Linked DNA regions of Oryzias latipes. The protein of the gene in region 2 interacts with the protein of the main gene of each other region in a pairwise test. Links are inferred from orthologs where the notes say so. Each region holds a gene or a part of one and is shown on either strand. Other genes may lie near its edges.

Region 1 (3,655 bases), about 4.6 Mb from region 2:
CTCACTTCTGATTGGTAAGAGTGGTTGCCATTGAAACTGATTCGGACATTTTGAGAAAACGACAACTGAATTGATTTCATTGGAGCCCAAAGTAAATCATTTTCTATGAATGACATCACACTCACTCAGTCCAGATCTCTGATACAGTCAATGGAACAGACACTCAGATAAATGCTGGGAATGTGTAAAACCTGGAAAGAATGCATCTTCACCAATGCTCACCTCTCCCATAGAAGTATTTCCTGTAGTAGTAAGCCCCAAGATCAATGTGCTCGATAATGTAGCGTTTGACCTTCTCCCTGTGGATTGGCTGGTTCTCTCGGGGCACCTCCAGAACAGAGACTCCAGCGTTGGTACAGTGGGAACTTAGAGAGGACTCAAAAGAGCAGCTCTCCGATATCCCGCTGTAGTTGGCGCTGTTGGCTCTGGAGAGGGAGATCTTCCTTTCTCCCTCACCACCAATCTCATTGCGAAAGTGCGGGCAGCCGAGTACTAAGCTATTACTCTTTCCATCTCCCTCATCCACATCCAGGTTCTCTTTGGGGTTTAAATCCTCCCTGCTGCCGAGTGGAGACTCAAACATGGGATTTCCACCGCCACATCCAAGCGCTGCACTGTCTGCCCCCGCTCCAGGTCCAACCCCACCTCCTAACACCAGGCCGGGCTCTGCCCCCACCCCGGCGGAGGCGGCTGAAGCTCCAGTGGTGGTGTTCTTCCTCTGACTCAGGTTGAATCTGTTCGCCACGGCTTCACTGATGTTAAAAAGGACGCTCTGGACGTCGTAGTGGGCAAAGCATTTTTGGAAGCTTAGCGGCCGACGGTCGTCCTCTAGGGAGAGTCTCAAGGCATCGCTCTCACTTTTTATTGTCCGTAATTTTCTAAAAAGAGACGGCTCAGCTGACTCTGATTTGAGTCGCCTAATAAATGATTTCTCGCGCTCGCGGCTGTATAGGAGAGAACTGTCTATGTAATCATAGCCTGGAATGTGGATGATCTCTCCCCTGGCAATTTGTGCTGCTGTCTGCAAGCTTGGGGACAGGGAAGCATCACAGCGCAGCAACTCTGGAAAACCCAGAGGCGGTATGCTACGATGGTCCAGGTTATCCACTCTGTAGCCTCTGAGCATCGTGAAGAAGCCTTCTCCACCGAGACCCTGGCGGTCTATAGAAGACGTGCTGCCGTATTCACGATGCAGTGAAGCTCCAGTGTTTGGGTTAACAGCGTTCTGGTCCATGATGTCCTCAGAGTCGATGTCACTTATGGTGACATCGCTATTGCTGCGTTGGCGAATGGGGTGAAGGCCCTTCAATGGGGAGTTGGTGAGAAGGTCGCTCAGTGTGTATTTGTCATTGTAATCCATATCTACACAAACATCTTCTCCTTGCTCCAGTAATTCCACAGTATGTTCCTGCTGTCCATTCTGGAAAACGGATATCACACTCTGGTAGTTTGGAGAAGGCCGTCCATCCCATCCGTCTTTTCTCGGTGGCCACTCTGTCACCCTGGCCCTAACCCCCATTTTAGGCATGGCAGGAGTACCGTTTGTTTTGCCGACACAGTCAGGTTTCACCTGCATGCTGGAGGCTGGTGGTCCCATACTTCCATTCAAGGCTTTAAGTTTCCTGCTGAATAGCTCCTCTGACTGCATAGCTCTGGTGTATTCTTCTGGGCCTCCCACTATTCCCACAAGGTTGGACTTGTTATCTGTCACAGGGCTTAAAATACTCATATCCTGCCGGCAGCTTCCTTGAGGGGCAGATTTTCTGGGCTGGTCCTCATCGTGTCATGTGGTTTGCTCACTGGCAAACAGCAGAGAAGCCCCTTTCCTGAGTTAAAGAAGCAGCCGTCGTCATAAGTCTTTGAGAGCGCATGGCATGGCAGTTGATACACAACATTTGGGTGTCAAGAAAACGTGTTTGAAGCGCACTGAGCAGAGACTTTCTTCGCAGCGTGGAACCAATGCAGACTGACAGCTGGAGGAGTTAGATCTGCAGGAGAGAAACAAACACAAAGAAGGCAATGTTTAGCACACAGCGGGTGAACACTGTAGCAAAAATTTTGACTTTAAAAGTAAAAGGAGCTGTTTTTTACAACCATGACACATTCTATTCTAATGCAAAAGAGAGAGAAAAAGAAATATAAGTGCCCCGTTTTCTGCTAAAAAGTTTCCCAGTAGGAAGATTTTGGATGCTCTCTTCTTGGAACAGCATTTTTGCAAACACTGCTAATTAGCGTGTTCCGTTATGGGTTTATAACACTCTAGATGTGTATGGCTTGCACCAATGTGGAACAGATGGCGGCGAAGCAAATGACAGTAACAGGAAAGCAGATGTTCAGTTAAATGCTTGCATGAACCAATATCTGGTCTAGCATCACAAAGCTTGCAAATCACATGACGGAACAGTTCTGCACTGTGAAAACCTTTCTACAGTGCAGGATGATCAGTCCAAATAGGTGGGTACAGGAAGGTTTAGAAAAAACAAGTCTATTACACCACACTTATGATAAAGAGCAAAGACAATATTGACGTTAAATGACCATTTTTCTTAATAACCTGAACTTTCAAGGACAGAGAAAACAGGTATGCTAAAACATCCGTTTGCTCGTCCTTGAGAATCAGCCTTAAGGTCTTTTAAGGATGCTGGATGAGACGTAGCATATGGTCATCTTCTGGGACAATACCTTTTTAATATAAGACCAGTTATTTGAGCTTCTTGACCATCTAAAAGGAGGACAGTTTTACCAGACAAGTGAGTTATATGTGAGGATAAAGTCTAAAGGAAATGAACAATTTCCAGGAAAACGAAATGTTTCTTTAAATCGACTTCATCCTTTGCTATAAAGGTATGATTTATGGTCCAAAGGGACTGGGAGTAGGGCATTACATTTACTTCAGGAGCTCAAACACAGGTCTACATGGACAACCACGGACAGTAGCGCCGCATAAGAATGGAAGACTTGGGAGTCTTTGAAAATGACCTTAATGCTTTTTTCTTGTTCTACGTAGCTAAATGTGTCCTCATCTCCTCATCCTAAAAAACCGGAAGAGTCACCCAGTAGTCACTACGCATCACAGAGACGATAGCAGCATTTCCTTCTGTGAGGATAATAAGCTCCACCAAAGCAGCCCTTAACGTTTGGTTGCAAACAAGGTAGACAGATGAATGGAGCCTAGTTGTTTCAGTCGTTGTTTCTGCTACATCAACAGACCTTTTATGACAGCTTCAGCTCCCAGACGACTGTTTACATTTCTTTGTGTAATCTGAGTGGGGGGGATAAACTATTTTTGGACAGAAATGTGGGCCACTTCTAAATGAGCTTCAAGCCAGACTGCACCAAATACACTAGAGACGAGTCGGAAACACTTTACTGCCCTTTATTTATTTCTAAAATCCTAGAAAGAGTTGTAGTTAAGCAGCTTTACTGCCACCTACAGGACAACAGCCACTTTGAAGACTTTCAGTCGGGGTTTAGACCTCACCACAGTACGGAAACTGCACTAGTTAGAGTCTCTAATGACTTGTTATTGGCCTCAGAAAAGGGACTACTTTCTATTCTGGTCCTGTTGGACCTCAGTGCTGCCTTTGACACTATCGACCACGGTATTTTACTCCATAGATTAGAGCAGGACATAGGGATCAGAGGATCTGCTCTC
Region 2 (3,755 bases):
TCCTGCCTCCTCCTCCTAACTTTGATACCTTTTTTTTTCTTCAAAAATGTAAAAACAACATAAATAAAAGTAGCTATTTAATCTATAAAGCTGAGACAGATGATAGGTTTTAACTGCTGTTCTGTAGGTACTGGGTGTATATAATGTCTGATTTGAGCAATTAATTCAAAGGAATTTTGAGGTTTAAAGCCAAATGTAGTTTAATGAATGTAATATTTTGTTAATAAAATCAGGAAATGTAACCAATAAAATTGTGAAGTAACTTTTCATAATCAGTAAAACCATACAGGATCTGTTTTTCCATGTCAGGAAGAAATCGAGAAAAAATTGAGTCATTATATCATACTGACAATTACTTCCAAACTAATTTTTTGTGATCATAGGTCGAAATTAAATATATGAATGTTTCTTCACATTGTTTACAAAATCTACCCCCCCCCCATATTAATCCTTTTGTCTTTGCAATTATCTTTCGAAAATGCAGTCGTATCAAGGAAGTTTGTTGTTTTCCCTGGGTAGTGACTTGTAGGTAAGTTGTTGCTGCCATAGACAGTATGGTTCCTGCCCAACTCAGTTTAACGAGGAGCTGTAGTAGTTATAGGTGCTACTTTTTCTAATCATATACATACAATAAAATGGTGAATAAAACTTCGGAAACTTCCAAATACTGTCATTAATTGTGTTATACCATGGGGAAATGCGTACGTTTCACAACAGTACACGTTAAAATGCCATCAAAATACAAAAAATCATATTGAGTTTTCCAAATAGTTTTTCTTTAAAAATTTGTAATATTCTAACAAAACCTTTCCACACAATAATGCTGACATACAACAATGGATTAGCTATTTTAAAGAACACCGAAAACTGAATGGTCTGATGCGCGGCTTAGATCGTTGTCAAAGGTTGCCTGCAAAACTATACACCGGTTTTTTTAACCCACTGACTGACAACAATGAGAGCAAAACAGCTGTCCTCTGATTTTGCCTGATTAAAAATAAACCCACTAACTTTAAATAAAAAAATGGAGGGGAAGAATATTACACTTTATTAGATTATCGTGAATGCCACTTCAATAGCGTAAATATACCCGTTTTTCAACTATTAGTCTAGTAGCACAATTCAGTTCTTTCTGCTTACGTGTGCACATAGCTGTAGGCGTCCCCTGAGATGCCTATGAGATATACTTCCATATTGGCACCAACTGAGTATTCTTCCCTGTAGTTGAATCGAGTTTTTTCTTTTTTTAAAGCAAGTGATCTACAGCTAAAACTTTGTAAAAGCTGTAAAAATATTTCGCACTTTACATGTTGGTCTTCCTCTGACAGGATTAACGATAAGTTGGTAAGTATGATTCATATTTTTCTTTCTGTTATCTCACTCAGCACAATAAACTTTTAACTTTTCAGATAATATTTCAAAAGTCTTTTCATTTTTTTTATTTTTTACAAACTGTTTAGTTTAAGTTATTTGAATCATGTGACCGACATTGTGTAGTTATCGTGTGCCATCTGGTCTAAGAGAACCAACTCAAACAACAACGTTTCCTTCTGCAGCTGAGATGATCGACAGTCTGTTCCTGATTAACCACTCAGGAGACATTTTCCTGGAGAAACACTGGAAGAGTGTTATCAGCCGGAGTGTTTGTGATTACTTTTTCGAAGCTAAGGAAAAAGCAGTAGACCCAGAAAATGTGGCCCCTGTCCTGCAGACCCCACACCACTATCTCATCAGTATATACAGGGACAAGATCTTCTTCCTGTCTGCCATCCAGACTGAAGTGCCTCCACTTTTTGTCATCGAGTTCCTGCACAGAGTTGGAGATACATTCTTGGTAGTATTGATTTCTTACCTGAATGTCTTCTTTGTGATAAGTGTGTGCCAGATCTTAAGTGCTTCTAGTCAAGCTCTAGGAATAAGTTTCCTTCTTGCTGCACTTTCATGTAAGTATATAATATATATTAAAGATATAACTAAAAAGTCCTTTATAAGACATTCTTTGAGGCATTAGTTTGGCCAAATATAAGAATTTCAGCAGCAACCTTAACCTTGACTGCAGTTAGTATTTTGTGCTGACTTAAACCAGGGATCGTCTTTGGAATTATCATTTAAACCAATAAAAAAGTATTTTTATTTCAGACTCGAAGTGTAAATGTCAACACCATTAAAAAGAAACACAAGACATACAAAATAATTAAAATACAAGTGAATACACCAATTATAAACCTAATAAAGTGGCCAAACCAGTACCTCCAAATTGGGGACTGGTAATGCAAAGTGCTGTGCCTGATGTTGGTTAGGGTTAAAATGATTTTATTCTTGGAAGCGTTAAAGACGTTGTATAAAACCATAAATAAGATTACTTAAAAGAGCTTGGAGAGTGTTGACTCATATATCATACGTCTTTTTAATAAAATCCCATTATATACCCCATGCAGGCTAAATGGCTATGGAAGGATTTGTTAATACACGATAAAGATATTTTACTTTGTGACTTATGTTTTATTTTGTCTAAACTAAACTGTGTTTATGACGGAAATTGTCATGGGGCACTGTAAGAAATGTTGCTGAATGGGTTTCATGTTAAAAAAAGGAAGAATTGTCAGATTTCAGTTAATAGTAAATGTACCATGTGTACATGCAGGTATGGTGACAAAGCAGAAAAGGAAAAACACAAAAAATATCTTTGAAAATATTAAATTGATAGTTTTGTGTGCTTTAATGCAAATTAAAGGGATTTTATTAAATCTGCGATCCAAAGTAATATCAAAAGGCTCTTCAAGTGCTTAGAAGTACAGCACTCTCAATTGTGCTACACTCTTTCTAATAGAACACAGAACTTACGTTATTGCCCATATTGGTCTGCTGACGCTGCTCAAAGGGACAGCCACTGTTGTCCTTTCAGTAACATTTTTTTTTTTTTTTTGCAGGATTACTTTGGAGAATGTTCAGAAACTGTAATCAAGGATAATGTAGTGATTGTTTACGAGCTATTGGAGGAGATGCTCGACAACGGATTTCCGCTCGCCACCGAGTCCAATGTCCTCAAGGAGATGATAAAGCCTCCCAACATTCTGCGGTCAGTCGTCAATACACTAACAGGTAAACAAACGTCACAAGGAACATTGTGAACTTCTGGCTCTTTAAGTCACACTGAAGGGCAGCGTTAACATTACATTTCATTTGTTTTTTCCAGGAGGTAGCAATGTTGGAAACACTTTGCCAACAGGTCAGCTGTCTAATGTTCCATGGAGAAGGGCTGGTGTCAAGTACACAAACAATGAGGCATATTTTGATGTGATCGAAGAAATTGATGCAATTCTCGATAAATCAGGTACTTGAAAAGAAGAGAAGAATAAAGCAGTTGGTGGGAAATGCAGTTAAATGCACAGTAATACCGGTGACTTTGTTTACTGAACAGGGACAACAGTATTTGCAGAGATCCAGGGGGTCATTGAAGCTTGTGTGAGGCTTACCGGGATGCCGGATCTCACTTTGTCCTTCATGGTGGGCTCATTTCCCCCCATATCTGTATTTAGATCATCTGTGCACTTTTGTTCAAGTCTAAATTTTGCTCATTATTGATGTATTATTGACAGAATCCTCGTCTCCTGGATGATGTGAGCTTTCATCCCTGCGTGAGGTTCAAACGCTGGGAGTCGGAACGGGTTTTGTCTTTCATCCCTCCAGATGGAAACTTCACTCTCATGTCATATCAAGTCAGCTCTCAGAAGTAAGTGATTCATGGGGAGAGC

The links. The genes of interacting proteins can lie anywhere in the genome.
Region 1: the proteins of AP-3 complex subunit mu-1 (region 2) and sipa1l2 interact in binary tests that used the Homo sapiens proteins (3 or more experiments, as listed by UniProt). The two-hybrid records come from large-scale screens. The link is inferred for Oryzias latipes from reciprocal best matches to the Homo sapiens genes AP3M1 and SIPA1L2.

The regions. Positions count from the first base shown.
Region 1 is NC_019873.2:28,571,305-28,574,959, forward strand, and holds part of sipa1l2 (signal-induced proliferation-associated 1-like protein 2), read right to left. Parts: intron 1,989-3,655; 5' UTR 1,730-1,988; coding exon 223-1,729; intron 1-222.
Region 2 is NC_019873.2:23,929,220-23,932,974, reverse strand, and holds the start of AP-3 complex subunit mu-1, read left to right. Parts: upstream 1-1,153; 5' UTR 1,154-1,344; intron 1,345-1,556; 5' UTR 1,557-1,561; coding exon 1,562-1,834; intron 1,835-2,930; coding exon 2,931-3,102; intron 3,103-3,196; coding exon 3,197-3,334; intron 3,335-3,421; coding exon 3,422-3,507; intron 3,508-3,599; coding exon 3,600-3,733; intron 3,734-3,755. UniProt on the Homo sapiens protein: Part of the AP-3 complex, an adaptor-related complex which is not clathrin-associated. The complex is associated with the Golgi region as well as more peripheral structures.